Linked DNA regions of Elephas maximus indicus. The protein of the gene in region 2 interacts with the protein of the main gene of each other region in a pairwise test. Links are inferred from orthologs where the notes say so. Each region holds a gene or a part of one and is shown on either strand. Other genes may lie near its edges. The genes, in order: ZNF410 and TSGA10.

Region 1 (16,694 bases), on a different chromosome or scaffold from region 2:
AGAATTAGCCAAGGAAAACCTTATGAATAACAGCGGTACATTGTCATGCCCCCTGAGGTAGTAGTGAAAGTAGGAACATGTGTCTTGGAAGTGAAAATAATAGTGTTTCTGGAAGGAAAGTAGTGTTTCTGGAAGGAAAGAATGCCAGTTAAAGCTCTTTGGTTGCAAGGGACCAATATGCTGAAGCACTTGGCTTCATAAAGTACAGGAACCAAAGAAGCCCCAGAGAGAGACTCCTGACTGCATCGCTGGAATGAATGGTTTGTAGTAGTTTGCAACCCTTAGTTACTTCTTTTAGGATTGACAATCTAAGAAAAGTGTATGATATTAGTTCGACATGGGTCAAAAACCCACTGCTATCAAGTTGATTCCAACTCACGGCGACCCTACAGGACAGAGTAGAACTGCCCCATAAGGCTTCCAAGGCTGTAATCTTTATGGAAGCAGACTGCCACATTGTTCTTCCAAGAAGCAGCTTGTGGGTTCGAACCACTAACCTTTTGGTTCAGCCAAGTGCTTAACCACTGTGCTACCAAGGTTCCTCTAATAAGGGTCAAGTGCCCAGCAATTGTCCAGGAGAGAAAAGGGCACCTTAACCCACAGTCCTACCAAGAATGTATCCAATGGGGAAGGGTAGATCCCCAAACAAAATGTGGGTCCCACAGGAATGAATGTGGGACAAGCAAAACCAATAAGTTGTTCATTGTAAAGGTCAAGTAAGATGAAGACAACAAGTGTCCATTGGTCTTGGCAACATGAAGATCATTGGTGACCTTTGAAAGAGAAGTTCTGGTAAAGTGATGGGGGTTGAATATTGACTAGAGATGAAAAAGTGGAGACAATTGTATTGGTAAATTTGGCCCTGAAGGATTGCAGAGAAATGGGGAGATGACTAGAGAAAAGATTGGGCTGTGGGAGGGAATGGAGCACCTCAGAAGATCCTGGGAAGAGAAAGCAGGCCAGGATGAATCCTAGGACTTCTCTTAAGATTCATTCTGCTTCTGTAATCCTATGTTCCAGGTTTCTTTCAAAGTACCCATCTTAGCATTAGAATTTAGTCAATTTCCGTAACATGCTAGGTATGGTATAAAAAGTTGCCTGGTTTTTCTGTTCCCAACTCTATCATTTTATACCAAAATTCACATTGCTTTTTTAAAAAAATTTTATTTTTGGTCTCTGTAATCCACTACCATCAGAATTTTTGTTTAGTTTTTAAATGTTACAGAGTTGTTTGGTTCTGTGCCCGCGGTCAGCCAAAGGTAACAATGGATGGAGCTGAAAAGCAGATAGACCGTGGTCAAAGAGACCAGGCCTGATGGTAGAAATTGTGTGCGTCATTCTAACTTCTATGAATGGTGACCAATTGGAGGGAGCACAGTGCTTCTCAGTTTTTTCCCTCTTTTTACTCCTTTCCCCCACCCTACCTCTTTCCAAAAGTGGGTCAAGGTCAAGGCATTTTCTACCTCCCCCAGTTAGAGCAGTACTGCTATTCTGAGCCATGTTTTCTAGGGTGGAATCACTGCCTTTTACAAGTTGGCCCAGGGAGGTTCTGTTTCTTTCATGAGGCAGAATAGTAAAAATAAAAGTCCCTGGTTATTTTTCCTTGTCGGTACTCTTCCTTCTATGTGGCAGTCAGGACTGAGTCAGGAGACCTTTACTGGCTCTGTTCCCATTTGGTAAGTTTACTTTGGCGTGGCTTTTCCTTCCTATATTTCCCTGTGTAACCTGTGTTGGTTCTAGGTCATCTCTGCCCTAGGTAAATGGTACCTCCACTGATTTCTGTTAGTATGCGAGAGTCCTACATTGGAGTTTGGGACCAAAGACTGGTTAATTATAAGAATTGTTTTGCCTTTCTTTCGTGACAGTTGCTAAGCATGTAGTATTTCCCTCTGCAAACCTCACAGGCAGGGCCTGAGGACAGGATTCAAGCAATCTCAATTTCATCAAAACTCCCATTAATGAAAATTGCTGATCGTATTTAATGTATATTTATAGTATGTTTATATCTATACCTTTACATTGTATGGCTGATTCTTTGTTTAACGTATGTATTTTAGACATTTGAAAACCCTCTAGTAGTGTTTTCTGGTCTGTGGGACATACCCGTTAGTAGGTTATGAGATCTGTTTAGTGAGTTTTTTCATTTAAAAAAAAAAGTGAAAAAAATCAGAGTGCATGTGATTAATTAAAGGTTAATATTGTTTCATGAAAATGTTTCAGTTATTTGTGTGTGGGGGGTGAGTTGTTCTTTCCTTCTCTGGATTATGGTGTAAAATGTATTTCTTACTGTGGATTGTAGTAAAAAAAAAAAAAAAAGAAAAAGAAAAAACCACTTTATTTAAGAAACTTGAACTCAGTAATACAAAGCAGAGTTCTTAAACAGCCTCTTGTGGTATATTAAACATTTGGCAGCTTTATTTGTTTCTTAAGTACTTTTATGCAGAACTTTGTTTCTGAAGAATTCTGTATTTCTGTTGACTGATACAAAGAGCCCTGGTGGTACAGTGGTTAAGCACTTGGCTGCTAACCGATAGATTAGCAGGTCAAACCCACCAGCCACTCCATGGGAAGAAGGTGTGGTAGTCTGCATCCATAAAGATTATAGCCTTGGAAACCCCATTGAGCAGTTCTACTCTGTCCTCCAGAGTCACCATGAGCCAGAATTGACTCAACAGCAATGGGCTGGATCATTGACTGATTCATAAATAATACTAGGAAAGTTCCATTTTATTTTGCATTCCAAATGAGTGTCTTAGGGCTGAGAAAATGAAACCTTACCCAGGTTTCAACAAACAAGTGAAAGAATTAAGATTTCTAGCTTTAGAGACCTTGGATTTTTTTTTCTTTAAGAGATTATCTTCTTTAATTGACTAGTTCAGCTACTTAGTGTATATGCATAATTTGCACGATGTTGACTGTACTGTAGAAAAAGAATGCAGCTTATCAAACTTCGGTTCCCAGGGTTTCTTTTTCTTCGGCTAATAACAGAAGGAGAGTTGTTCTCAGAATGGACCTGATCACAGACATCTCTGGTGTCCTAAAGTAGTAGCTTGTAATGAGGCCAGTTCTCTCATTACTTACTTATTCCCAGAACTTTTCAAGGGTTCTTGTGTTCTTTGCTTTGGTTTGTATTGTCTGCATTCTTTTTAACCCCTAGGCTGTCTATGGAATAATATATTCAATAATAGCAATGGTAGGATTAGTGGATTTTTTTTAATGCATATGATAGACCAAGGTTATTTTTTTAACCAGTATAATATGCATTGTTAACCCAAAGGGAACCATGTTTACTTACTAAAATTTAGGTTATCAAGATTGTGTCAGTTGTTGCCAAGGGTATGGAGTGAAAAGGCTCTGAGCAATACTACTTAGACTGTTCTCTGAGGTCAGTTTGTTTTATTGTGAACTCTTTATCCTTAGCCAGGATTCCGTATTTATGATTTGTGGAAAATATGATTTGATGGGACTGGCCTCATGGTTGCTGATGGTTAAATGTCATTGTCTCTTTTATTATTTATGCAGCTAAATTAATAATTTCTCTGTTTAAAAGGAAATAAGGATATAAAGCTTTGCCTGCCCACCAGCTAAAGATAAAAATAAAAATGAACAAATATTGCTGTCCACTTTAAAGGACTTTAGATGATGTAGGTGACTGTTCTGTACATCGCACTTCTAATCTCTTTTTTAAATTAATAGGATAAGAAATCCTGGGAAGAAAGTTCCTCTGAGACCCATAATTATCTTGAAAATAGTTTACCTTTGAGTAGGAACAGTGTCTCACGTCAATGTCATGTAAATTGTATTTAAAGAAAAAAATTGCATTGGATCCCCCCAATACTGGCAAATTATTTTTATTATAATTACTTTTTAAATATATTTAAACACAAAGGTAGGTATTCCTTATTGCTCCTTAATGCCGAGCCGCTATAGCTCTTAATCAACTATGCAATCAAAACAAATTTACAAATAATTCAGTAATAGGAGTGGCAGGGTCAGTTGATAGCTATTATTTTTTAAATGTAATATATGCTAGACCAAGATTGTTTTCCTAAAATACTTTGATGCACATAGGGTACCAGGAGCATGGTAAAAAAAAAAAAAAAAAAAAAACCCAAACCCGTTGCCGTCAAGTTGATTCTGACTCATAATGACCCTACAGGACAGAGATAGAACTGCCCTGTAGGGTTTCCAGGGAGCATCTGGTGAATTGAAACTGCTGACCTTTTGGTTAGCAGCTGATCTTCTAACCACTGAGCTAATAGGGCTCTAGGAGCATAGTCAAATTTACCATATCAGGGTCTTGTCAGTGGTTGCCATGGATTTGTATACATAGAAGTGAGGGTGCAGGTGTGAACAGCACCATAAAGCAGGAAAATTCAAGCTAACATTCATATACACCTACTCCTCACTAATTGGCATGGTTAGGTTCCAAAGACCAGGTTGTTATGTGAAAATCAGCATTATGCAAAGGTGAAGGATTTTTTTTCCTGTTTTCAGACTATCGATTTTTCTGATTTTTTTAGAGAATATAATCATAGAAGTAATAACAGCTAATATTACCGATGTGCTCATCACTGTGATGAGTCCAGTTATGGCTTATTCCTCTGCAGAGAAGGAGGTTTGGGGGAAACAAAGCTGGATAAAGCTGGGCTGTGTGACTGGAGGGCCAGGCTTAACCACTTCACCTTCCTCCTTTGTTGGGTCAGAGCTCCTCAAGGAGCTGCCTCCAGGGCTCCACTCCCACCCCTGCAAACCTTGTGTTTAGGAACCTGGAGCCGCCTCTGTTCTCCTGGCCTGGTGGGTCACTGAGGCGCAAGGTCACTGAGGCTCGAGGCTTCCTGCAGGGCTGGACTGGGAACCTTGCCACGCATTGGGCACCACCCAGGTAGAGGCTTCAGGCCCAGTTCAGCTCATTTTGGGATGTCATTAAACTAGCACTTATTTATTCCAAACACCCTCTCCGATGCTTTTCTTTCCTCCCTTCTCACCCCACAGCAATTTTAAGCTGCGGGGTCTCAGGCTGCAGAGGAGTTGGGAACCCAGAACAGGTCCCTGCTGGCTTGGTGCTGCCTGTACCTCCAAAGCAGCAGGAGGGAGCAGAGAGCATGGGGCAGCATGACCCAGCTTCCTGGAGGCAACTGAGAGACCTTCCTTGAGGCAGAGGACTCCCCGAAGCTGTAGCCCCCATACCCACCTGCCTCGTTAGTTTGCAAGATAGTCAGATTTTTACTGTTGACATAAATGCGAGATGATAATGAGTTGATAAGTGAGTAGATGTAGTGATAGAAATGTTGTTTTCCTGAAATGAAGTAGTTAATAGTACAGTTAATAGTGGAAAAATTTAGCCTTAGTGTTCAGTAATATATTTCATCAGTTTCTATATTTTAACTTTGGTAATATTAAAACAGAGAATTCTGTGCTATTGTTGGGTGCCGTCAAGTTGATTCGGACTCATAGTGACCCCATGTGACAGAGGAGAACTGCCCTCATAGGGTTTTTTTCTAGGCTATCATTTTTACGAGAGCAGATCGCCAGGTCTTTCTGTTGCAGAGCTGCTGGGTGGGTTCAAGCCTCCAACCTTTTGGATAGCAGCGAGTGCTTAACTGTTGTACCACTAGCACCTTTCAAAGAATATTATATAAGGTAGTATTTATAAGTGAGGCATTGGTGGTTCAGTGGTAGAGTTCTTGCCTTCCATGTGGAAAATCCATGTCTGATTTCTGGCCAGTGCACCTCATGTGCAGCCACCATCCGTCAGGGGAGGCTTGCGTGTTGCTTTGATGCTGAACAGGTTTCACTGGAGCGTCCAGACTAAGATGGGCCAAGAAAGTCCTGGTGATCTACTTCACAAAACCAGACAATGAAAATCCTGTGGATCACAACAGTCCAATCAGCAGCCAGTCATGGGGATGGTGCAGGACTGGGAAGTGTTTCATTCCATTGTGCATGGAGTTGCCATGAGTCTGGGCAGCTAACAGCAGTATTTATTAATGTCAAGGTATTGTTTAGCAGTTAGTATGATCAGAACTCATATTTAAGCAAGACTGACGATGAGCTATTCTTGAATGTCAGTTTTAATGAGGTGTTTGATAACTTTGTAGAGTTGCCTCGTTCACGTGATGCATTGCAGGCATAAAGGCAAATCACAGAATGGGAGAAAAGTTTTGCAAATCGTTTATCTGATATGGGACTTGTATCTAGAATATATAAAGACCTTCTTCAACTTAATAATAAAAAAAAGCTCAGTTATGAAATGGATCAAGCATTTGATTAGGCATTTCTCCAGAGAAGATAATCGTATGGCCAATAAGCACATAAAAAATCCTCAGCATTATTAGCCATCAGGGAAACGCAAATCAACACCACAATGAGATAGCACTCCACACCCACTAGGATAACTCTCTCAAAAACACAGATAATAACAAGTGTTTCTGAGGATATAGAGAAATTGGGACCTTCATATACTGGTGGTGGGATTGTAAAATGGTGTAGCTGTTTTGGAAAACAGTTTGGTATTTTCTCAAAAGGTTAAACACAGAGTCACCCTACGAAACCAAACCAAACCCATTGCTGTCGAGTTGATTCTGACTCATAGCGACCCTATATGACCCAGCAATTCCATTCCTAGATATATGTACCCAGAAGAGATGAAAACATATGTCCACACAAAAACTTGTACATGAGTATTCATAGCAGCATTATTCATAATAGCCAAGACACAAAAGCAACCCAAATGGCTATCAACTGATGAGTGGATAAATAAAACGTGCTATGTCTATACAATAGGGTATTATTGGACAACAAAAAGAAATAAAGCACTGATACATGCTATAACATGGATGAACCTTGAAAACATTACATATGCTAAGTGAAAGCAGCCAGGCACAAAAGGCCACTTATTATATAATCTCCTTTATATGAAGAGTCCAGAATAGGCAAATCCATAGACACAGAAAGTAATTTAGTAGTTGCCTAGGCCTGATGAATGGAGGAGAGATTGAGTGCGAGTGGGCAGTGACTGCTAATGGGTATGGGATTTCCTTTTGAGGTGATGAAAATGTTCTGAAATTGATTGTGGCTGTGGTTGCACAACTTTGAATATACTAAAAACAATTTAATTTTACTCCTTAAATGGATGAATTGTATGGTATGTGAATTATATCTCAGCAACACTGCTACTAAAAAAGATTTGCATTTCAGAGTTTTTGGTATCTGTTAAATTGGGAATCGAATTGCACATTTGCCATTACTGTTCCAGCCAATGTACATAGCAAGTTGTTGTCTCAAAGATGAGATAGATCCACGTAGTATACTTGGTGTGGTACGAGAGTGCTCCAGTACCGGTTGCTCCAGTACGGGTTCTTCTGAGTTCAGCCTGCGTAGTCAGCTGCACCCCACTCTTCTCTGATTTGTTCATACAGCACACATACAAACCAAAAACTTGAGCACCGAAAACATACATTGGTACTCAGTTGCAATAGTAGATTCCCAGTTTTTCCAGAAAATGTTTAAGCCATTTTTTAAAAAGATGTCATTGAAATGAAAACACTAACATAAAAAAATGTAGATAACTGTGGAACCCTGAGAAATGGTGATGAATCTAGAGGTAGCTCTTAAAACTATAAGAGAAGTGGTAGCTCCCTACCTCTGTTGAAGTTGAGTATCACCGATTTGCAAAGTGGTGGTAGATCTAATATGTCCGGTTTTTCCCTTACTCATTGCACATATTCATATATTTCACTTTTTGTTAGATAAGGATAACAAACCTATCCCTGGAGATAATGCTGTCAGTTTCCAAGAAACTTAACAAATATTACCAATACCAGTTGCCCTTGAGTCTGTTCCAATTCATGGTGGCCCCATGCATGTCAGAGTAGAACTATGCTCCATGGGTTCTCAATGACTGATTTTTCAGAAGTAATCACCAGGCCTTTTCTTCTGAGGTGTCTATGGGTGGACTTGAACTGCCAACCTTTACATTAGCAACTAAGCCTATTAAGCATTTGTGCCATCCAAGAACTCCTAACAAATAAAAAGGATGGTAAATGGTTGCCTAGTTTTTTAGATATTTTATAATTCTGGAATCTCGAAGTTGGAGGAACCTTCAGGATGACCTGAATAAACATTTGGTAATTTCTTGGTTTGTTGAGGTAAGCTGGAGTTGAGGAAGAAGGATTCTTAGTACCTAGAGATTCAAGATCAAACCTAAAGACATATAGTCATATTCATGCCAACTAGAAATTGGACTTACTGTATGGGTGGAGTAGTTCAGAAGTCTCAGCCACAAGTTTTATTTTATTGCTGGCTAATCAGTTTTTTTTTTTTTTAATGAGTTAGGAATCAGAAAAATTACCAAGTCAACTAGGGTAGGAACTAGGGTTGAGAGAAAGGACTGTATTGCCAAGATGAACCTTATTTATATCTAATTAAGGAAAAGAGTAGTGTAATACAGAAAAGAACAAAAATAAGTGTACAGCTTAATGAATTATCCCAATTACATGTTTGTATAACCACTGTCCAGGTTCGGAAATAGATACATCTTATTTTACTGATTTCCTTCTGAAAACATTTATATTTAGGGATCATTTTTTTAAGGATACTAGTAACAACACTGGATCTACAGTTTTGGAGACTTAGGAGTCCTGGCTGCAGCTTAATAACTTGGCTGAGTGATGTACTGAGCCCTGATTCCTTCCTCTGTAAAAAGAGGAATAAGCCACATAGATTTGTTGTAGGGCTTGAATAAGAAAAGTGTCTGTGAAAGGGAAAGTTAGAGATTGTGATAATTTATTTTATGTGGGAAACTTAAAAGAACACTTTTAAAATAAAAGAGCACATCTTGTAAATTGGTATTTCTTTATGATGAAAAATTGGGATTTCAGGTAGCTAGCAAGGGATGGGTGGGAGGAACCAACAGTACAGTAAACCTTTATTTATTTATTTAGAATAAGTCTTTCTTATTCTGACTTTCCATTCTACCCTGGTATTAATTGAAAACTCCCATCCTTGGTCCATTTTACACAGTGCGATTACCTGGTACATAATAGTGCTCCAAATTTTAACAGTTGTGCAAAATAAAGTCGACTCATCTGCTAAAATCTTGGGGAAAAAATTGACCTATAAGAAAGTAAGGGTTTAAATTATGAGAGGAAAACAAACAGCTGCATCAAGATCCTGAGAACACTACCTTTGGGAAATACAGTTCAAAATTTGACTGCCTGTATTTCTTTTAATGTAAGTTTTTTAAAATGATGAAAACAGTATAGCTACCTTTTAGACAATTTGGGAGATAGAGAAAATAAAAATAAATGATACTAGCCTACCAGCTGATAGAACTACTGTCATTGCTGTGTGAGTTTCCTTTGAATTTTTTCTCTGCATATATTAAGAGGTTTTAAAAATAGCAAATGTATAATTTTATATTTTATTTTTGTAATTTAACACGTCATAAGGAGCCCTGGTGGCGCAGTGGTTAAGTGCTCAGCTGCTAACCAAAAGGTCAGCAGTTCGAACCCACCAGCCGCTCTGCAGAGAAAGATACAGCTTCTGTAAAGAAGCCTCCTTTAAAAATTACATCGTTGGAATTCTATGGGACAGTTCTACTCTGCCCTGTGGGGTTGCTGTGAGTTGATACTGACTCTACAGCAACAGATTTTTATTTTTTTAACATGTCATAAGCATTTTTTTTTGTTTCATCATCTTCATGACCATATTTTTAAGTAACAATGCAGTAATTTAATCACTTCCTAATTAATGGATATATATGTGTATTTGTATGTTGCTTCCGGTTGTTTATTTTCTCAGATGATAAGATGAACATCCTTGGGCATACAGCTTTTTCCATATTCAGGACCTCTTAGAATGGATTATTAGAAGTAGAAATGCTGAATCAAAGCATAACGTTTTTATGGGCTTTGAAACCTCTTGGACTTGTTCTGTTGTAACATGTTTTGGGCTGAGTTCTTCATTTGCTTGTTTATTTTGATATTTGGATATACCTGTGAAGAAGTGTCTGTCTTTGGCCTTTTTAGATATATTTTCCACTGCTCTTAACTCTCTTCCTCTTCCCCTCTCCCCCATTTTAGGCTGAATTGATGTTCTGCCTAGCACAGCATCTAACTGCAGGAGCATAGCATTTTCTAAAGAAATATGAGCATAACAGGAAGGTGTCATTGACTCTGAATTAAATTTGAACCTGTCCCCTGAATAGCTACAGGATTTGGAAGCTGAATCAATGTTATCAGATGAGTTAGAATCCAAACCAGAGGTGAGCCCAGTCGTCCTTTTATTTTGATAGGCTGTATTCCAAAGTTTATCCTTGGTTGCTGGGGTCAGTAAACTTTTTCTGTAATGGGGAAGATAGTAAATATTTTAAGCTTTGTGGGCCATACAGTTTTGGTCATAGCTACTCAACTCTCCTGTTGCAGTGCGAAAGCAGTCATACACACTAATGAGCGTGGCTGTATTCCAATACAAAGTTTATTTACAACACTGATGGTGAACTGGATTTGGCCCAAGGGCCATAGTTTGCCAACTCTTGCCTTAGTTTATTATTTTTCCATTACTAAGTACTTTCAAAGATTTAAAAGTACTGTTTTTATCTTTTATGACTTTTTATATTTGTTATTAAGTGTAAAATTATTATAATCAAGATATTATAAAATGAAATTTATATATGTGTGTGTGTATTCATTTTTCTCACTTTAATGTTAGTGCATCTCTGATGCATAATGGAAAGGTTGCTGAATGTAGAATTAGATTACTTAAGTTGGAAGACTGGTATTGATCTTAACTAGCCATGTGAATTTAGACAAATCACTCAATGTCTTCAACTTGATTTGTCATCTGAAAAATACATGTTTAGTCTTACTGGGTTGCAGTGAGGATTATATGAGCCAGTTCACAGAAGAGTGCTTTGTAAAATGTAATCAATATAATACAGTTGAAATTTTTTAATAGCCATCATTTAAAAATGTAATTATTTTTATCATTTCTCTGATGAGAGGTGACAGAGGTTAACATAATTATAAAATTCAGCCTTTCTCCAGAACAGAGGACTTGATAAATAACTTTAAATATTATGTTATAGTTACTTTAGTTTTTCTATGAATAAAGGCCTAGATTAGTGAACAGTCAAGACTTAATTACTACATTTTATGCAAATAACGTGCAGATTATGCCAGAACGGTTTTAATTTCATCATTTCTGTGTGTGGTATGTGTGGCTGGGTTGTTTGCAAAAATATGGTATATCACTTTTTGGTAAAGTCAAAGGCTTAGATCCATACCCGACAACCTGTATTTCTCAGTGTTGCCTTTTTTTACCCCTCTTTAGCTCCTGGTACAGTTTGTTCAGAATACCTCTATCCCATTGGGACAGGGACTAGTGGAATCAGAAACTAAAGACATTACTTGCTTGTCCCTCCTTCCGGTGACTGAGGCCTCAGAATGCAGCCGGCTAATGTTACCAGGTAAAAACTGAGATCACTAGAGATAGGATAATGGAGTCCTAAGAGCTTAGCCTACTGTATGGTACCAGTGGAGTGGGAGAACTGACTTTATAACTGACTGGTGGAGATTGTAAAAATTGGGCGTCATGGAGAAAAAAGCAATCATGGGAGTTATAAATGCATTGGTAGTTTAAGCCATGGGAATGTATGTGATCACCCCCGGAGTGTGAGAGTGAGAAGAAAGGAAGGCCAAGAGAAGAATGCTATAGAACTTCCTATTGAAGGTATAGAATGAGGCAGAAGAGCCTGAGAAGGAACGGCTAGGATATTAGGAAGAATATCAGCAGAGTGGAAGCATGGAACCTTAGAGAATAATTAACATGTCAGAAGCTCCTGAGAGGCCCAGTGAAATGGAACTAAAAGAAGGCCATTATTGATCTTGATAGGAGCTGTTCCATTGAGTGAAGGGAGTAGAAAGCCAGGGTGCAGTGGGTTGGGGTATTAATACAATATATTCCACTCAATGTAAGTATAGTTGAAGAGCTAACTATACTTTCTAAAGGCTCTCCTGTGACAGGAAGGAAAAGAGAGGCATGTAAGGTAAAGGGAAGAATTTTGTTTTTGTTTTAGATGAGAGGTATTTTTATGCTAAAAGAAAAACACCAATTTATAGAGAAGCTGCAGACAGAAGGAGAGAGTGGATTATGGGTGACAAGGTCAGGAGCAGTAAAAAGAAGTAGAATGCTGAGTATAGGTAGTGAGATTAGCTTTGAATGGAAAGAGGGAGATCTCTACCATTAGAGTCATCATTGAGAAACCATCCCTCAAGGTTTTAGGGGAAGTTGTAAAGGCAATAGATATATTCCTTGCCCTTAGGAGCCTTAATAAATAATGGAGGATTTTTATCGTTTTTAAAAAGACTTCTTGAAAAGGAACTGTACATTTTTAATTAACATTCTAATGAGTCATTCATCATTTGTTCCTTTTTAAGTGAAACCCATGGTAATAGTTCTGGGCTTAGTGAAAACAGAAGGGCCAGTAGTGGGGGTTGGCTGTCTATCCACTGAGACCTATTGCACCCTATTAGCAAGGAGAACGTTATTTTTGGGTGCTATGAAGTCTTTATTTTCTGACCCTTGTTTTTAATGTTTGGAATGTTAATGTTAAATCAGGGGAGGGCCAGTATTGTTGATGATGACTTATTTTGTTTGTTATAAGTTCTACAGGTTACCATTCCCTAGTGGTGTCTTAGTTATCTAGTGCTTCTGTAGCAGAAATACCACAAGTGGATGGCTTTAACAAACAGAAGTTTATTCTCTCACAGTCTAGGAGGCTAGAAGTCTGAATTCAGGGTGCCAGTTCTAGGGGAGGGCTTTCTCTCTCTGCTGGTTCTGGGGGAAGGTCCTCATCATCCATCTTCCCCTTATGTGAGAGCTTCTCATCACAGGGACTTTAAGTCCAAAGGAAGTGCTCCACTCCCAGCTCTTCTTTCTTGGTGGCATGAAGTCCCTCTCCTCTCTGCTCGATTCTCTCTTTTATATTTCAAAAGAGATTGACTCAAGATACAACCTAATCCTGTAGATTTGAGTCCTGCCGCATTAACGTAACTGCCTCTAACCCTGCCTCATTCACATTATAGAGATTTGGATTTACAACACATAGAATAATCACATCAGATCACAAAATGGTGAACAACCAGACAATACTGGGAATCATGGCCTAGCCAAGTTGACACATATTTTGGGGGGACACGACTTAATTCATGAGAAATGATGTTCTTTTTTCTTTGATTTTTGAAGTCCCTTTAAAACCCTTTTCAGTTTTTAAAGATCCAAGAAGGCTGGATATGTCCAACGAACCAGTGTTTAAAAGATTTTCCTATCTAGTTCCTAGCTTTCCCATATCTTTCCTCTCTCAATTCCTATTTTTCTGCTTGTATGTTGGGGGTCATATTTTCCAAATCCCTCTGAATTTGCAACATGTGGCAATTTTCAAGTGTTAATAAAATTCGATCTTCATTAAGCTTGGACATGGCAGTACTGTTCCTAGGCTTCCACTTTTATTCCTATAACTTAACTTATTATCTCACTAAAAGAGGGACAAAGTTACCGCCTTTATGAAGATAAATGAAACTCCAGAAAACATTGGATGCTCCAGCACTGCAGTATGGTTTCTTCTTATATTGCAGCTGAAACCTTTGGAAATTCACCTCTTCCCATAGGACAAGCTTCTTGAGAGCAAGTCTTCTGAATGAATTCTTTAGATCCAGTGTAAACTCAAAAGTATAATGAAACATATTGGTAATTCTATAAGATTTCATTCGTTTCCAAGGCTGTGGTTTTTTTTCTATGACTCATCAGAACTGTCATATGCATCTTATAGAAAGCAAGAGGAGGAATCTACCCCCAAGGAAGATAATTTAAAATGTAGATCCTTTATAAGTTAGTGTTGACTGCATAGATGATATTTTCAAGGGAAGAGCACTTGATTTCTGACCTCAAAAAGGACAGTTCTGTAATGTAAAATAAAGTAGAATGCTGAGCATGTGGATGGTTGGTTATTAGTTACTGCCAAGTGTCAGAGGAGTCTCTTGCTCACATTTTAGCCGACTCCCTTTAGAACTTAAAGCCATCCCCCTGTTCTTGTCTAAGGCAATTTTTATATTTGTAGAATGAAAGTATTATCTGCTTCTATAAAGGTGTTAATACTAGGGGTGCTATAAGGGTATTTGGGGCTGTATATCAAAGTGGTAGGCTTTTTGGAGATAAGTGCTACATAAAGCTGTGGTGTTTTCCCTTTTCTAGATGATACTCCAAATCATACCAACTCTTCCAAGGAGGTCGCTTCCTCGGCTGTGTTGAGAAGCCTTCAGGTGAATGTGGGCCCAGACGGAGAGGAGACGAGGGCTCAGACTGTACAGAAGTCCCCGGAGTTTTTGCCAACTCCAGAGTCTCCTAGTTTGTTACAAGATCTACAGCCAAGTGATAGCACTTCTTTTATTCTTCTTAACCTAACAAGAGCAGGTATTCTTTTTCCTTCCCTGAACTCTGCTCACACTTAAGAAAAAAGTGGGAGTGTATGTATGTGTCCTGTTTTACTCAAGTTACATGGTGGAAAGAAGCTTTATTATTTTGGAGAATTTTTTTAGTCCGGTGACCAATTGAGTGTGTGGAGGGAGAGAGTGGACTCTAGGAGGACTCAATAGTCGCTTGTTTGGGAAACCAGGTGGGTAGTGGGGCTATCCACTGAGATAGTGAGCACAGGAGGAACAGGGCTTGGGGGAGGATGATTAGTCCCACTTTGTGCCTTTTGATGTTGAGATTTCTCAGGGACATTCAGGAAGAGTTGTCCTTTAGAGAGTTAGAAACAGGAATCCAGAGTTCTGGAGAGAGGTCTAGGGTGAGATACATAGCTTTGGTCCTTACCAGCATTTAGGAAGTATATGGAACAATGGGCATGGATTTGTTCACTCAGGAGGAGTCTGGAGCATCAACTAAAAAGAAAGCAAGGCTGGGACCCTGGGGGGGAAAAAAAACATTTAAGAGGGGGACAGAAGAATGGGAAGGAGCAGCTAGAGTAGGAGGAAGAGACAGGGAGAAAGTGTGAGGGAAGCCAAGGGCGGAAAAAATTTTAAGGAAGGAAAGTACTAGAATCGTGGCAAATACTACAGGATGGGCTTGTGAGACGGACTGGGAAGTGTGTGTCTGGTGACCTTAGCAAGAACAACTGTTATTGGGGTAGTAGAGGCGGAGGCCAGGGTTAAAGAGAGGAGGAAGTAAATGGAAGGTAAGAAATTGGATGCACAAGTTGGAAGGTACTCTTGTTCAAGAAACTTGACTTTGAAGGGCACAAGTGAGAAGGTAATAGCTGTAGAGGTACTTGGAGTTTTTTTTTTTTTTTTTAATAAAGTTGGGAGAGACTTCAGCTAGAACAGATTAAAGGCTGCAAGGGAAGACTGGCCAATAGAGAGGAATAGGTCACAGACAGGAGAGAGGAGATACCTGAATGTGACAGATACAGGAGAGGATAGCTGAAGAAAGAGATTGGAATACCAAAGGTAGAGATAAGCCTGATGGCCAGGAAGGAAAACTTTGCCCCTGAAACAGGAGGAGGCAAAGTAAAGACAAGCCTGTATGCTGAGGGTAGAAAGATGATGACCTAATTATCTATGAGACAGAAATTTGAGGTGAGATGAAGACCTGGAATAGCTGATTCAGGACATGGAGTGTTTCTGAGCCAAGGCAGATAAAAGGATTGCTTGATGACTTAATTTTCATATATTCTTTTGTTTCTTCCAGGTCTGGGCTCTTCAGCTGAGCACTTAGTATTTGTACAAGATGCGGCAGAGGATTCAGGGAATGACTTCCTCTCCAGTGAGAGCACAGACAGTAGCATTCCATGGTTCCTCCGGGTTCAGGAGTTGGCCCACGACAGTTTGATTGCTGCTACTCGTGCACAGCTGGCAAAGAATGCAAAAACCAGCAGCAATGGTGAGACCCTTGTCATGTTTTCCTTTCTGGTATCTTGTGCAAAGACATTTTTGACAGTGCAGTGGCTATATTTTGAGTTATTGGAAAGAGCAGAAGGCCAGGGATGTGTGTTGTTATAAGTCTTATCTAAAATGTGTGTGTGTGTGTGTGTGTGTGTGTGTGTGTGTGTGTGTGTACAGGTAAAATAACTTGGCCATGCCAGATTTGTGTGCAGAGTCAACTAACGTTCTCAATTCTTGACTTTAAATAATGTTCCTTTTAAAGGAAGAACAGTTTCTTACAGATACCCAGTGTTATCTTGAATTGTTTTTATTGTGATGTTAAGTATGTAAAAACAAAGAATTATATATAAACTTCTTATAATAGAGCTCCTTGACCTTATCAGATTAAAACAATTTTATCAGTTAATAGAAATAAAACTGCAAACGCAGTGTAAATAAAATTAAGTTACTGTGGCTGACAGTGACGTTTTGCTGAAACAAAATTGCTGCTCATAACAATTTAGTAATTCACTGTGATGACTGTAGTGCTGTTGCTTTGGAGTTCAGTATGTCTGTACGACCTACTGTGTGCCACTTTTCTCTATTCCGCAAATTCTCAAGACGGTCCCTGGATCGATCAGCATCACTGGGAACTTGTTAGAAATGCAGATTCTCAGACCCATCGAATCAGAAACTTTGGAGGGGGGCCTAGAAGCCTCTGTTGTACTAAGCCTTTCTTGTGGTTCTGATACATGGTAAAGCTTGAAAGCCACT
Region 2 (16,966 bases):
GTGAAGCCGTCTGGGCCAGGGCTTTTTTTTGTTGGGAGTTTTTTGATTACCGTTTCAATCTCTTTTTTTGTTATGGGTCTATTTAGTTGTTCTACTTCTCATTGTGTTAGTTTAGGTAGGTAGTGTTTTTCCAGGAATTCATCCATTTCTTCTAGGTTTGCAAATTTGTTAGAGTACAATTTTTCATAATAATCTGATATGATTCTTTTAATTTCAGTTGGGTTTGCTGTGATGTGGCCCATCTCGTTTCTTATTTGGGTTATTTCCTTTCCTGTATTTCTTTAGTCAGTCTGGCCAATGGTTTATCAATTTTGTTAATATTCTGAAAGAACCAGCTTTTGGCTTTGTTAATTCTTTCAATTGTTTTTCTGTTCTCTAATTCATTTAGTTCAGCTCTAATTTTTATTATTTGTTTTCTTCTGGTGCCTGATGGATTCTTTTGTTGCTCACTTTATCTATTTGTTCAAGTTGTAGGGACAGTTCTCTGATTTTGGCTCTTTCTTCTTTTTGTATGTGTGCATTTATCGATATAAATTGGCCTCTGAGCACTGCCTTTGCTGTGTCCCAGAGGTTTTGAAAGGAAGTATTTTCAGTCTCGTTGCATTCTATGAATTTCCTTATTCCCCCCTTAATGTCTATAACCCAATCTTTTTTCAGCAGGGTATTGTTCAGTTTCCAAGTATTTGATTTCTTTTCCCTAATTTTTCTGTTATTGATTTCCACTTTTATGGCCTTGTGGTCTGAGAAGATGCTTCGTAATATTTTGATGTTTTGGATTCTGCAAAGGTTTGTTTTATAACCTAATATGTGGTCTATTCTAGAGAACGTTCCATGTGCACTAGGAAAAAAAGTATACTTTGCAGCAGTTGGGTGGAGAGTTCTGTATAAGTCAATGAGGTCAAGTTGGTTGATTGTTGTAAGTAGGTCTTCCGTGTCTCTATTGAGCTTCTTACTGGACGTCCAGTCCTTCTCCGAAAGTGGTGTGTTGAAGTCTCCTACTATAATTGTGGAGGTGTCTATCTCACTTTTCAGTTCTGTTAAAATTTGTTTGATGTATCTTGCAGCCCTGTCATTGGGTGCGTAAATATTTAATATGGTTATATCTTCCTGGTCAATTGTCCCTTTTATCATTATGTAGTGTTCTTCTTTATCCTTTGTGGTGGATTTAACTTTAAAGTCTATTTTGTCAGAAATTAATATTGTTACTCCTGCTCTTTTTTGCTTATTGTTTCCTTGATATATTTTTTTCCATCCTTTGAGTTTTAGTTTGTTTGTCTCTCTAAGTCTAAGGTGTGTCTCTTGTAGGCAGCATATAGACGGATTGTGTTTCTTTATCCAGTCTGAGACTCTCTGTCTCTTCATTGGTGCATTTAGTCCATTTACATTCAGCGTAATTATAGAGAAGTATGTTTAGTGTTGTCATTTTGATGCCTTTTTATGTGTGTTGTTGACAATTTCATTTTTCCACTTACTTTTTTGTGCTGAGACGTTTTTCTTTGTAAATTGTGTGTTCCTCATTTTCATATAGTATTTGACTTTGTTTGCTGAGTTGTTACATCTTTCTTGGTTTTTATTTTGAGTTATGGAGTTGTTATACCTCTTTGCGGTTACCTTAATATTTACCCCCATTTTTCTAAGTAAAAACCTAACTTGTATTGTCCTGTATCGCCTTGTATCCCTCTCCATATGGCAGTTCTATGCCACCTGTATTTAGTTCCTCTTTTTGATTATTGTGATCTTTTACATATTGACTTCAATGATTCCGTTTTGAGCATTTTTCTTTTTAATTAATCTTGTTTTTGTGATTTCCCTATTTGAATTGATATCAGGATGTTCTGTTTTGTGACCCTGTGTTGCGCTGGTGTCTGATATTATTGGTTTTCTGACCAATTTACTTTGGTATTTCTTGTAGCTTTGGTTTGGTTTTTGCAAATTCTCTAAGCTTGTGTTTATCTGTAAATATCTTAATTTCGCCTTCATATTTCAGAGAGAGTTTTGCTGGATATATGATCCTCAGCTGGCAGTTTTTCTCCTTCAGTGCTCTGTATATGTCATCCCATTGCCTTCTTGCCTGCATGGTTTCTGCTGAGTAGTCTGAACTTATCCTTATTGATTCTCCCTTGTAGGAGACCTTTCTTTTATCCCTGGCTGCTTTTAAAATTTTCTCTTTATCTTTGGTTTTGGCAAGTTTGATGATAATATGTCTTGGTGTTTTTCTTTTTGGATCAATCTTAAATGGGGTTCGATGAGCATCTTGGATAGATATCCTTTCGTCTTTCATGACGTCAGGGAAGTTTTCTGTCAGCAGATCTTCAACTATTTTCTCTCTGTTTTCTGTCCTCCCTCCCTGTTCTGGGACTCCAATCACATGCAAGTTATCCTTCTTGATAGAGTCTCACATGATTCTTAGAGTTTCTTCATTTTTTTAAATCCTTTTATCTGATTTTTTTTTTCAGCTATGTTGGTGTTAATTCCCTGGTCCTCCAGATTTCCCACTCTGCATTCTAACTGCTCGAGTCTGCTCCTCTGACTTCCTACAGAGTTGTCTAATTCTGTAATTTTATTGTTAATCTTTTGGATTTCTGAATGCTCTCTATGGATTCTTGCAACTTATTAATTTTTCGACTATGTTCTTGAATAATCTTTTTGAGTTCTTCAACTGCTTTTTCAGTGTGTTCCTTGGCTTTTTCTGCAGATTGCCTTATTTCATTTCTGAGGTCATCGCTGATGTCTTGAAGCATTCTGTAAATTTGTTTTTTATATTCTGTATCTGATAATTCCAGGATTGTACCTTCATTTGGGAAAGATTTTGATTCTTTAGTTTCGGGGGTTGTAGAAGCAGTCATGGTCTGCTTCTTTATATGGTTTGATATCAACTGCTGTCTCCGAGCCATCACTAAGATACTGTAGTGATTTATTCTATATTTGCTCACTGAGTCTTATCTTGTTTTGTTCTCTTTCAATATACGTAGATGGGCTACTAGATTGCGCTGTCTTGACTGTTGTAGCCCTTGACTTACTTATGACCTATTACCAGCTGGTTTGGGCTGTTACCAGATATATAAGCCTAAGAGTCCATTCACTATTCTTGAGTAAAATCTGATTTTGGGTCATCAAGTGTGTGATGCACACTGTCACCTATCCACTTTGAGAAGTAGTGGTGATAGTTGTGTGCACCAGATTCTAGTAGCAGCTGGGGTTCACACTCCGGGGCAGAGCAGGATGCTGACAGGCTTCCCCCAAGTGTCAGTGAGGTAGGTGTGTCTCTATTCCTAAAGCACCTTGGTGGGTGGGCTCTGCAGCTGTACCTTAGGCCCCCAATGCAAGTACCTCTACAGATTGGAAGGTGTCACCCTCCTTAGACCCCTAAGGCAGGAGGCTAGGTGGTCAGAGGGGAGCTTCAGCCCTCAGTTCCCTGTTGTGGGTCAGTGAGGGCTCTGTTGAATACGCAGAGATATCAGATCTGGGAAACTTGTCTTTCCAGTAATCAGCTAAAACAAATGCAGTCAGATCCCTGTCAAAAATGCCTTTGCAGTATAATAGCCACCTTGTTCCCTGTAGGGATGAAATCCCGAGACTGTGGATCACATATGCTTGGCTGGAGCTGGTTCTGTGTTTTTAGTCCAATTAGGGAAGGATTTTTCATCCCTGGGTTTTTTGTGGTTGCTTCTCTCAGGCCAGAAGAATGGGTTAGGAAAGACCGAAAAAAAAAGGAAAAGAAAAACCGCAGAGCAGTTCTCCCTCTGGCTCAGGAAACTGCAACGTTAATGAAGCCACCTGGGAAAGGGAGGGGAGGGTTCAGATAAACAGGAGAGAGTAGCACCCTGGAATACAAACAAAGTTACTTATCTTGCTTGGGATGACTGTTTTATCTGAGATTCCCAAGGGGCTCCTGTGTGCACTGGCTGGGTAGAGATTGCCCCCGAGGGTCAGGCCCGCGTCCTGTGCTTGCGCTGTCTCAGAAGCCACGGTCAGTTCCTCCGCTGCCAGTCCAAAGCCCAGCGTCAAGGTTCCTCGGCTGGGACTCTGCACTCCCATCTCCAAAAACAGTCGCTGCCTCCCGGGGACTTCTCCTCCCGCCAGGTGCATCACCGCACCTCCTGTACGGACCAGCTGGGCCCCGTCCCGAGGTCAGTTCAGGGGGATGGGGCTGCGCCCCGTGTTTGCGCCGTCACAGGATGCTGTGCTCAGCTCCCTTGCGCCCAGTCCAAAGCCCCACGCCAAGGTTTCCTGACTGGGACGCTGGCTCCAGGCTCCGAAAACTGTCGCTGCTTCCCCGTAGTTGTTCGTTCTCGGTCTCTGTCACTCAGGTCAAGTCTTTAAATCTGTGTTTGTTGGTCAGGGTTCGTAGATGGTCATGTATGTGATCAATTCACTTGTTTTCCCGAGTCTTTGTTGCAAGAGCGATCCAAGGTAGCGTCTACCTAGCAAGCCATCTTGGCCCCCCTCCTCAACTATCTGGAAACAACTTTTAAACCCTGATCCCATGAATCTTTAAACAAGTTTAGCTCAATTAATAAAGAATGTTTGCCTTGAGCATTGTGCTTTTAAAATATGATCTATATGAGATCAAATTCACAACTATAACTCTAAAGCGCAGATGAGAACTTTAAGGGGCAGAGAGTCTAAGTTAACAGTGGTGAAACGATACGGGCAAAGAGACCGAGGATGATGACACGGTGTGGAGTATGCAACCACTGTCACTGAATTGTACATGTAAAAACTGTTGAACTGGGTATATATTCTGTTATACATATTTTCATCAGAAATTTTTTTTTTAATTTAGAAGAGCTAATCAATGAATGAGAGTAAAGAAAAGGAAATGGAAAATGTAAACTACTTTTAGAAAGCATGGTTGTGAGAGGAAGGGAGGCAGCTAAAGTTGGAGGAAGACCATGGTTGTGGAAGGGTCATTACAAAAGAAGACAAACATGTTCCTTAATTCTCTTTGTGTTAAGAACCCCTTTCTGAATTGAACAAAACCCCCAGATCTTGCCTTCAAGAAAATGCAAATACACACAAAACTTTACCATTTAAGGTATTCAAAAACTCCCTATAAGAAGTGCTGGTGGGACAGCCGCTAAGTGCTTGGTTGCTGACAGAAAGGTCTGCTAACTGAATAGTCAGCGGTTTGAACCCATCCAGCGGCCCTATGGCAGCAAAGACCTGGTGATCTACTCTTGTAAAGATTACAGCTTAGGGAACCCTATGGGGCAGTCCTACTCTGTCATATAGGGTCGCTATGAGTAGGAATCGACTAGACAGCACACAACAGCTCCCTAAACACCTTGGACACCAGGTTAAGAAACCCACCAGTGCAGAAACAAAGATTTCTTAAGACATACCTTAATGTGAATTAATGGAGAAAAAAACCCTGAGGTAATAAGAGGAAACACAAGGAAAGGATATGCATTGTACTCTGAGACAAAAGAGAGAAAAGCAAGAATAGGCAAGAAGGGGCAGACATTTGAAGGAGTTCCTGCCCAGTTGAGTCTTATTTTTTCAGTGAAATAGGAGATAAGGTCATGTGCAAAAAAGTATCAGTGTTGACCAAAGTATCTGACACATAATATGTGCTCAACAAATGTCTATTGAATTTTTGGTAGAATAATGAAAAACAGTGGTGTACTTTATATGGGATTCTGAAATCTGGCTCCACAAAAGGTCAACAAGGATGGACTTTTTGCTTTCTCTTTTAAAATTGTCTTCATATGGAAGGCTCATAGCAGTTTTGCTCATAATTGCCATGACTGTAAAAACCTGACTGTCTACCAGCAGTAGATAAATTGTGGTTTACTCTTACAATGGAACACTTACCAACAAACGACAAGCAACAGCAAGGGTAAATCTTAACACACAATGTTAAGTAAAGAAGCACAATGAAAAGACTTAGTACAATTCCAGATACATAAAGTTCAAAAACAAGCCTAACCACAGTGTGCATGTTCACAAAGGTGGTAAAGCTATCAGGAAAACCATAGAAGTCAGAATAGTGCCTACCTCTGGGGAGGACGCTGTGTGATGGGAAAAGGAGGTGGATAATAACACCTGCCCTAACTGCCTCTGTATATGGAAAGCTTTAAAATCTAATGACCCTAAAACATACTTGTCTCAAGTATTTAAACTGAATAAGACCACACAGGAAGAAAGCCCAGAGAATCTCTTCCCCGATTATATACTGGGCTATCAGCAGTGTTTTTTTTCAGAACGTAAATTTAAAAAAAAATGTATTTTAGATGCTGTCGTTAAATAATACTAAAGTTTAGGGTTTAAAATAAATATTTCATTAATGGGCCTTCCTAGTTATTTCCCACTAAGAGAGAAGGCGACAGGAACCAGTTTCATACTGGAGACAGGTCTGGAAGCTGTGTCACCTTACTTTTACATGTATAACTAATCTATTTTATTCCAGTTACAAATCCATTGGTATCCTACTTATTTCATTAGGGAAAACCAAGTGTACTTGAAACGCTGAAAACCAGCAGAGGAAACTAAAAACAGTATCCTAGGATACCAAGGCCTGGTGTGGAAGAAGGCAAACACCGGGGAACGCTCTGCTCTAAGCAAACTTATCCTGAAGCCTTGATTCTTGGCTTTATTTAAAGAAAAAAAAAGTATTCGTATGCGTTTTTAGGTATCAGGTCCATGACCACCGAACACGTATCCGATTCGGTTTTAAATACTTTTTTAAAGAACAGGCGGTTTACGCAGCCTGTCCTGTGCAGTATACTTCCTTCCGCGCCTGGCCTCCCCACGTCGGTGAAGCCACAGGCTGGGAGTCAGCAAGAGCCGGGCCGGGCTCCCGAACACCCTGCTCCACGCTCTCGGCTCCACGGCACAGCGCCTCTGGCCCAGCGGGCCCCAACAGCTGCGGCGGGACGCGACGCGGTCTCCATAGGAACTGGGCCCGGCCCCACGCCCCCGGGAGACCGCGACGGGGCAGAGCCGGCCGTGGGTCCCCGGCCGGCCGCCCTCCTGGGGGTCTCCCCCCCGGAGCCGCCTCCCCCCCCCGGGGGCCTCCCCCCTCCGGAGCCACCTCCCCCTCCCCCAGGAGCGGCCTCCCCCGGGCCGGCGAGGCCCGCGGCTTCCACCTGGCGCTCCGGCTCCCTGGCCGGCGTTCCGGGCCCGCCGTCCTCCCCGGCGCTCATCCCCGCGACTGTCCGGCCGGGGCCTCCGCCGGGCGCCCGAGACCCGGCCCGCCTCCATACCCCGCCCCGTCCCCGCCCCTCCGGCCCCAAATCCGCCGGGTGCCGAGTGCCGGGTGCCGGCCGCAGGAGGCGGGGCGGTTAGCGCCGCCTCGGCCCCGCCCCACGCCCTGTACCTCAGGGGGCTCGTCCTCCGCCTCCGGGTGCCTCCACGCCGCTTCCGTGCCGCGCGGCCCCGCCCCCCGCGCACGCGTACCAGGCTCAACACGCCCCCTCGCGGGAACCACAAGCCGTGCGCGCGCCCGCGCACGCAGCGACGCGTATCACCCCCTGCTGCCTGTCCGGGCGCCGAGAGGCCGCTTCCTGGTCCTCCGCGCCGCGCAGGCGCATGCCCACGCCCCGCCTAGGCGCCCCGCCTGCGCGGCCCCGCTCTCCCGCGCACGCGTACCAGGCTCAACACGCTCTCTCGCGGGAACCACTAGCTGTGCGCGCGCCCGCGCACGCAGCGACGCGTATCACCCCCTGCTGCCTGTCCGGGCGCCGAGGAGAGGCCGCTTCCTGGTCCTCCGCGCCGCGCAGGCGCACGCCCACGCCGCGCCTAGACGCCCCGCCCGCGCGTCCCGTCTCCTAGTAACCGGCCTCGAGCCCCTTTTCCACGAGGTGCTTCTCGTTCTCTGCCAGCTGCTCCCGCACCTGGATAGAACGCGCATGCGCAGGGCTGGAGCTCCGCTGTTGGGAGCATCGGCTGTTTTGTGGCCACAGCTTTGGGCCGCTTGCACCGGCGAGCAGGCGCGGGTCTGGGCTCACGTTCAGTGGACCGGCCAGTTCTCAGAGCTGCCCGTGGGCTCCGGGAGGTTGGTGCGTTCTCCTGCCGCAGCCAGGCGCCTGTTTGGGGGGAGCCTCCCAGCTCGGGGCCTCCTGCTTGCAGCGCTCCGGGAGAGGGCAGGCCCGTCCCGGTGGAGGGGACCCCTTGCAGTCTAGGGAGCCTGCGGACCCACGGCCGGGCCAACCCTGCAGCATCAACTCGGGGTTGAATCGACAAGGGGCAGGGCTAGCAGTGAAAGATTCCTGCGCGGTAGTCCTGCAGCACCTGCCAGTCCTCTGACTCCCCGTTGCAGAAAAACTGGTGACGATTAACGAAAAGGATAGGTATACAGCCACACTTGGTATTTCTAGTTCGTCGATTGTCGTCCTGTTTAATGTCACTTAAACGTGTCTTCTGAAACTGGGGCAGTTCTGCTCTGTCCTATAGGGTCGCTATGACTCGGAATCGACTCGATGGCACTGGGTTTGGTTTTATCCGGTTTTCTCTCAACTGGGAGCTTTCAGTCTGGGAATAGTCACTTCACCCGGCGTAATATTATTTTTGGCCATCCAGCTACGTTAAAATTAACTATATTACCTTAAGGTAGAGAGGTGAGCTTTTTAGTGAAAAAGAATGAGCATTGCATTATATTGCCAATGTTTTGGAATCCAGCTTAAAAAGTATTCTTAACTTTTCTTAGTGTTGAACATGTCCCATCTGTTTAAGCAACCCAAGAGCTTCTGAACTGTAATGGTGACTTCATCTCCCATCTTTTCCTGCAGATGAAAGAGACACTGGATTTTTACAGGAGTCCTCTGATGATGTAGTATAAGCCTGTGCGTTGCAAAAATAGGCGCACGTTAGAAGAGACTAACAGTTCCTGTCTTTGCCAGGTGAGTAATTTTTTTCCAAAACATATTATTGGTAGGCAATTTTTATGTTAGAACTAATTTCGTCATAAGGTACATTTGAACATAAGTGCCATATGCATTGCCAGTCTCTGTTCTGATTTTTTCGTTATTTGTGCCATTACATTTTCTCATATTTTGTAGCATTTATTTTCAGATACCATGCAGTTTGTATTAAATGCTAGCTACTAGAAAATTTAATTGAGTGCCTTTGTTATTTTAGATAAAGAGGTCAGAGTCCCAAGGAACATACTTCCTCTGAAATACAATTACATCTAATTAATAAAATGTGCCATCAAAGAACAGGCTCTCAAAGACTCTCATGAAACGTTATCTTAGGGGGAATACTGTATAATCTCTTATTTCCTCTTCAGGTACTAGGATTATTTTGAATAAAAGGTCCTCAATATTTAGCATTATTGAAATAGGAAAGAATGTACTAACTTTAAAACTATCAGTTGGAGTTGAAGACTTGGAGTGGTATTAATTTAGGAAGCAGGAAAGTACTTCTCTTCCGGGAAGAATAACAAAAGTTTAAGTGTTTATGTATGCCACTGGATGGTACTGAAGATTCCTTGGAAAGAATGTAGGGAGGAGATCATTTTAAGGCCAAAACAGGGTGTACAGATTCCTTTTTTTTTTTTTTTCCCCTTATCAAGGACTATTAAATCTCCTTCTGTAACCCAAAAAAAGTGAAAAATTTCTTCCCTTTATGGAAACCCAAGGAGTGGTGAATGCCCCTAGCAACTAAACCTCATTTGGTAGTTCAGCTCTCTCCCTTCTGACAGACACGCCTCATCAACCTTAGAGGTTGGGGTTGTCTATTCCCTCACTCTTTCTGTCATTTCACAAACTTCACTACAAAAACCTGTTTTACCTCCTTTTTTTTTTCTCTTTTTTCCTGTCTCCCTGTTGTCCCTCCCCCCCCCCAAAGAAAAGTCTGGGACTCCAGTTACATGCGTGTTAAGCTACTTGACCATTGTCCCACAGCTCACTGAAAAACCTGTTACCGTCGAGTGGATTCCAGCTCATAGTGACCCTATAGGACAGAGTAGAACTGACCCATAGGTTTTCCAAGGAGCATCTGGTGGATTCGAACGCTGACCTTTTGATTAGTAGCTGTAGCACTTAACCACTGTGCCACCAGGGTTTCCCACAGCTCACTGGTGCCCTATTTATTTCTTTCAATTGAATGCTAACTGGATGTTACTGCTATTTTTTCAAGTTCACTATTCTTTCCTTTGGCACTGTTAATCCCATCCACTGTATTTTGCATCTCTAGAATTTTGATTTTTTTTAATATCTTCTATTTCTCAACCTAATCATATTCATGCTTTACTCTCTACTTTGTTGGAGATATGAAATACATTTAAAATAGCTGTTTTAAGATTCTTGTATGCTAATTCTATCATCTGTGTCATTTCTGGATTTATTTCTATTAACTGACTCCCCCCGCCCCCCCAGTTAGGGGTGGTGTTTTCCTGCCAGGTAGTTTTTGATTGCTTATTGCAATTTTTACATTGTTGGGTGTTGGAGTTTTTATTATTTTTTTGTTTGTTTTTTTCTTCAAGTATATAGGGTCACTATGAGTCAGAATCCACTCTATAGCACTGGGTTTGGTTTTGGGTTTATATTTGGGCATGTTCTGAGATGCAGTAAGATTACTTGGAAACAGTTTGGTACATGAGAGCTATGCGGTCAAAAATAGTAGCCACCAGTTACATGTGGAGGTCAGAACTCCAAAACGAGGTAGGCTGGGCTAAAACAGGAGCTCTGGGTGGCACAGTGGTTCAGAGTTTGGCTGCTAGGCAGCAGATCTGGTTTTTGGGTTTGGTTGGGCTAAAATAAAAGTTATATCAGGGCTGCATTCCTTCTGGGGACTCAGAGCGGATCTGTGCCAGCTTCTACAGGTCATCTGCATTCCTTGGCTTGTGGTCCCTTTCTACCTTCAGAGCCAGCAATGGCCAGACAAGTCTTTCTCACATTATGTCACTCTAACACTTGCACTCCTGCCTACCTCTTTCACTTGGGTCTTTGTGATTACATTGGAACCACTCAGTCCAGGATAATCTCCTTAATTTTACCTGAACCTTTTAATCCCCCTTGCCAAGTGCAAAATGGTCGGAGTAGTAATAGAGTCAGAACCTATCTAACTTAAAGGCAGGGGATGAGGGATAATGAGAATCACCGTCAGCACAAAACTGATTCCGATGAAGTAGAAGTCAAACATACCTCCACTCTCAACATTTTTATCAAATCTGTCACCAGCCGTTCCTCCCACAGCACTCTCTACTTCTGGGTTCAATAATCCATTGCAATGGACACACAGGACTCACAGACCATACTTACAGTTCAGTGGTTTATTGAGGAACAGGGTACAACTCAGGATCAGGATCAAAAGTCTACAACACAGCATCAGGAAGCAGGTAGGCAAAGTCTCCCTTCAGTGCAAACCTCTCTCTCTCTCTCTCCCTCTCTCTCTTTCTCAGGACAGTTTCCTCTTGGCCCTGCTGTCTGTTGCTGCCAGCTCTGCCACTGGACCCCTTCTGGGCCTCTCGGTGTCTTCAGTGTTACAACCTTTGACCCGTGTTACAGTTCTTTTAGAAGGTTCCTTGCCACCTCTCTGTTTCTGCTTCTTCTCTCTTTTCTTTCTTCCTTCTGCTTCCATTCCTGTTTCTTTCTATCTGACAAACTTCTGTGGGGTTTTTTGGCTGCTTATATACACAAACTGCCCAAACTCTCAAACTTCAATTTCAGGGCATGGCACTCCCACCAGGGCCACAAACAGACCAATCCCCTCTTGGGAGGCCACAGACACTTCATTTGCATAGTAGGCTACAAACACTTAATTTGCATAGCCTATTGACCAATCCAGTCCCTGCAAGGTGCATACCAGTCCCAGGGCAAGCTGCAGCCCAGAAGCAGACAAAAAGTATCAAACCATAAGTTGTTTACAGTTACCCAGAAAATGTTATTCAACCTGGACAAGAGTAACAAACCTTCTAGGGTAGAAAACTGGGGTAAAGTTGTCTCCTTAGGGCTTAGGGGAAAAAAAATCTCTGAAGCTGTTTTCCAAAGAACCAGAGTGAAAGGTCACATAAAGGAACTCATTTCACCACACTAAGTAACACAGCATACTCAGAAATTCTGAGGATTAAGATGTGGACACCTGCTTTGGGGGCTGTCTTAATTATCCAGTGGTGCTACAACAGCAGTATCACAGGAGGATGGCTTTAACAAAGAGAAAGTATTCTCTCACAGTCTGGGAGGCTGGAAGTCCGAGTACAGGGCGCCAGCCCAGGGGAAGCCTTTCTCTCTCTGTTGGCTCTGGAGGAGGGTCCTTGTCGTCAGTCTTCTCCTAGTCTAGGAGCTTCTCTGCAAAGGGACCTTGGGTCCAAAGGACATGCTTGCTCCTGGTTCTGTCTTGGTGGTAGGAGGTCCCCATCTTCTCTGCTCCATTCTCTCTCTTGTATCTCAAAAGAGATTGACTCAACATACAGCCTAATCCTATAGATTTTCCTGCCTCATTAACATAACTGTCTGTAAACCTACCTCATTAACATAACTGCCTCTAATCCTGCCTCATCAACATCATAGAGATTACAATTTACAGCACATAGGAAAATCACATCAGATCATAAAATGGTAGACAACCACACAATACTGGGAATCATGGCCTAGCCAAGTTGATAAACATTTTGTGGGGACACAATTCAATCCATAACGGGCCATTATTCTGCCTACCACAGCTGGGGATTAAAACAAACCCAAACTCATTGCCGTCAAGTCGATTCAGACTCACAGCGACCCTATACGACAGGGTAGAACTGCTCCATAGGGTTTCCAAGGAGCACCTGGTAGATTCAAACTGTCAGGCTTTTGGTTAGCAGCCGAGCTCTTAACCACTATGCCATGTCACCAGGGTTTCCTCCTGGGGATGAGATATGTAGAAAATCTAGGTTTTACTCAGAGATTGGCAACAACTACAGCGTGTTGATCAGATTTGGAGTGCTGTGATTTGGCTTGTGTTTTAAAAGGCTCATTCCTGATACTGTTTGAAGAATGTACAATGGGGAGGGATGGGCAGGGGTGGAAGTAGAAACAGATTCACTGAAGGATTGGATGTGGAATAGAAGGTAAAGAAGGGCGTTAATAATGATTCCACCAACAGTGTATAAGGTTTCCTGTCAACCTGCATTCTCCTTGTACTCGGTACTATCCACCTTCTAAAGTTTATCATTCTGGTTCTTCTAAACTTGATGTCTCTAGTTACTAGTAAGTATGAACAGCTCTTTGTGTACTTATCTATATGGGATTCCCCAACCTGCGAATTACGTCTTTATATTCTTTGCCCGTTTTTCTATTGGGTTTCCTTTTTCTTGTTGATTTATAGGAGTTCCTTTCATATTCTAGTGATGAAATCCCCTGTCAGTTTTGCACATAGCAAATACCTTCTTCCAGTCCCTTTTCCATCTTTTTAACTCTCTTTACTGAATAGATGTTCCTAATGTTGAATAGTCAAGGCCATCTGTTTTCCCCCCTTATTATTTAAGCTTTTTAGGTTTTATTCAAGACATTCTTCTCCACTCCAAGGTGATAAATATATTGGCCTACCTTTTCTTCTATTGGTTTTATAGTCCTGTGGTCACATTTAGGTTTTTAATGCATTCGGAGTGTATTTTTGTATGTAAGATAGGGGTCCTGCTTTATTTTTCATCCACATAGTGAGTCAACATTAATTATCTTATCATACTAAACATAGTTTGTTCCATCCTCTTTGCTTTATAAAGTTAAACCCATTGCTTCTGAGTCAATTCCAACTCATAGTGACCCTGTAGAACAGAGTAGAACTTCCTCATAAGGTTTCCAAGGCTGTAGTTTTTATGGGAGCAGACTGCCACACCTTTCTCCCATGGAGCAGCTGGTGAGTTCGAACTGCTGACCTTCAGTTAACAGCAAGGCTCTCTAACCACTGCTCCACAGGACTCATCCGTCTGCCTTATAGTGCTTCCTTTATCATATGTGAAGTTCTTACACATACTTAGGTCCATTTTGCAGCTTTGGTATATTCCGTTGGTCATTTATTTGTTCCTGTACCTGTAGTAGATTGTTTTTGTAGCATGTCTTAATATTTGGTAAGGCAAGTCTCTTTGTTCTTTTTTGTCCAAATTGATTTAGCTCTTTATGGACCTTTATTCTTCTATAAGCATTTGATATTTCTTCTTGAATACCAACCTGAATGCCAGACCAAAAAAAAAGAGGCCCCCAAATAGACTTGCTCTCTTCGTGTCCACAAGACCCTGGGGGAACTTAAGGTGAGATTTATAGAGCCAAATGTATCCTATTGCATTTAATTTCTTCTCACTCCCTTTTTTTGAATGATGTGTTAATTAGTTTATAATTATGTGTTATCATTATATTACTTTTGTTGACTTCAAATGTAGTATGTTGTCTTATAGAGTATTGTTGACTTTTATACTTTTTTAAAATTTAGTATTTTGTAAAAGTTTAAACATACAGAAATGTTACAAGAATGATAAATTGAACAATTATTTTTTACCTCCTAGATTCAACACATGTTTACATTTTGCATACCTTATTTTCTATAACTGAACAGTGAGAGCAAGCTGTAGATCTGATCCTTCACCTCTGTTCTAGTATGTACCTCCTAAGAACAAGGATATTCCCTTACATAACCAGAATACACTTATTAAATTCAGGGAATTTAACCCTGATGCAACATGATTATCTAACAAACCATCCACATTCAAATTTCTCCAGTTGTCCAAGGAGTGTTCCATATATTACCTTTTTTTTTTTTCTTTTCCAATTTAGGATCATTCACCGCATTTGGAAGTCCCCTCAGCCTCCTCTTACCTAGAACACGTTCTCAGCCTCTTTTTGTCTTTCTGACACTGGTGTTTTGAGGAGTACAGGCCATTTGTTTTGTATCTTTTTGTCTTTCTGACACTGGTGTTTTGAGGAGTACAGGCCATTTGTTTTGTAGCATGTCTTTTGGTTTCAGTCTCTGTTTCCTCATTTTGGAATTCAATTTACACATTTTTGGGAGGAGTATTTCCTCTTTAATTAATTAAAGAGGAGAAACCATAGACCAGAAGGCACCCACTTTTATTAATTTGAAGGTAGTGTTGGATATTTATTTGATGAGGAAAAAAAAAAAAAAACACTTTTGAGTCCAAATCTAAGAAACAGGTATACCTACATTTAGAATTCCATCAGAACTCTTTAAAAACGTAGCTACATTGTACTTGTAGCTAGAGAGCCAAATCCATACTCTTTTATCTAACTGATACAGCAACAACACTTGAATAACTTCCGTATTTAGAATACAATAGTCGGCCCAGGACTGTTCTGTTACAGGTTAGGCACAGACATTAAGTCACAAATATGGATGAACAGATCTCCAAATATCTTTAGAAATTTTCAGTCAGTAAATGACTAAAACTTGATGGAGACTGAATTGTAAACTGTCAAAAGATACCACACTGCTTAAATATTGAAGACGAGATTATAAAGGTAGGTTAATACTTTCACAGCTGTGACATCCGCTCCAGATGTCACATTGAGCATCTTTGGGAGATCGCTATTCTCCAGCAAACGCTGGTGATTCTGCAGTCTTCGCTGTCTTCCCTGTGCCAGAAAGCCTGTCCCCTGTGCCATCCTGGCCAACTCTGCTTACCAGTTCCTACACATCTTTCACCGCCCAGCCCTGGCCAAAGCCCCCTTCATTTGGGAAACTTCCCAGGCTCTCCCTCCATGTTGCATGCTTATCTCTCTTAACAGATTGGGCAACCTTAATAATGAATAAGTATATGGACCTTGGTGGATGGAGTACTTAGGAATCAAATCAACTACTCCATGGAAGGAAACAAAGGAGTAGTGCCAGATGATCAGTCAAAACAAAACCAGGTGCCAAATGTGGAACTGACCATCAGTTACTCACGTGCAAGTTCAAGATGAGGTTGAAGAAAATCAAAGCAAGTCCATGAGGGTCAACGTATAACCTTGAATACATCCAGCCTGAATTTAGAGACAATCTCAAGAACAGGTTTCAAGAACCAAATACTAATGACCAAAAACCAGAATTGTGGGAAGATAATCAAGAACATCATACATGAAGAAAGTGAAAGATCATTGAAAAGACAGGAAAGGTGTCTATATACCAGCAATGAGAAATCTGAAAGGGAAATTAGGGAAACAATCCCATTTACAACATCATCTAAGAGAATAAAATACCTAGGAATAAATCCAGTCAGGGATGTGAAGCACTTATACAATGAAAACTATAAAATACTGCCCAAAGAGATTAAAGGAGACTTAAATAAATGGACAGGTGTTCCACGTTCATGGATTGGAAGTCTTAAGATGTCAATACTGTCCAAAGCAATCTCTACCTCCAACATAATCCCAATAAAAATTCCAACAGCCTTCTCTACAGAAATCAAAAAACCAATCCTCAACTTTATACAGAATGGCAAGAGGCCTCACATAGCTAAAGCAATGTTGGAAGAGAAGAACAAAGTAGAAGTCACACTTCATGATTTTAAAAGAAACCTGGTGGCATAGTGGTTAAGTGGTGCTCCTGCTAAGCAAAAGGTTGGCAGTTCGAATCCACCAGGCACTCCTTGAAAACTCTATGGGGCAGTTCTACTCTGTCCTATAGGGTCGCTGTGAGTCAGAATCAACTTGATGGCACTGGGTTTGGTTTTTTTTAATACACCTACAGTAATCAAAACAGCCTGCTACTGGTGTAACAATAGAAACATTGACCAATGGAATACAGTTGAGAATACAAAAATAAACCCATACATCTATGGTCAACTGGTTTTTGACAAGGGTGCTAAGTCCATTTGATGGGGAAAGAAGAGCCTGTTTAATAAGTGGTGCTTGGAAAATTGGATATCCACATGCAGAAAAATGAAACAGGATTCATGCCTCGCACGATACACAAAAACAAATTCAAAACGGATTAAGGACCTAAATGTGCTAAGTAAAATCATAAAATTCTTAGAAGAAAAAGCAGGGGCAACAGCGTCAGGGCTAGCTTTTAACAGTGGATTATCTAAAATAAAAGACAATAAATGGAC

The links.
Region 1: the proteins of TSGA10 (region 2) and ZNF410 interact in binary tests that used the Homo sapiens proteins (3 or more experiments, as listed by UniProt). The two-hybrid records come from large-scale screens. The link is inferred for Elephas maximus indicus from reciprocal best matches to the Homo sapiens genes TSGA10 and ZNF410.

What each region holds. Positions count from the first base shown.
Region 1 is NC_064828.1:86,615,917-86,632,610, forward strand, and holds the start of ZNF410 (zinc finger protein 410), read left to right. Parts: upstream 1-10,176; 5' UTR 10,177-10,234; coding exon 10,235-10,267; intron 10,268-11,334; coding exon 11,335-11,470; intron 11,471-14,253; coding exon 14,254-14,472; intron 14,473-15,747; coding exon 15,748-15,939; intron 15,940-16,694. UniProt on the Homo sapiens protein: Transcription factor that binds to the sequence motif 5'-CATCCCATAATA-3', and is specifically required to silence expression of fetal hemoglobin in adult erythroid cells.
Region 2 is NC_064835.1:86,619,641-86,636,606, reverse strand, and holds the start of TSGA10 (testis-specific gene 10 protein), read right to left. Parts: upstream 7,215-16,966; 5' UTR 7,149-7,214; coding exon 7,092-7,148; intron 1-7,091. UniProt on the Homo sapiens protein: Plays a role in spermatogenesis. When overexpressed, prevents nuclear localization of HIF1A.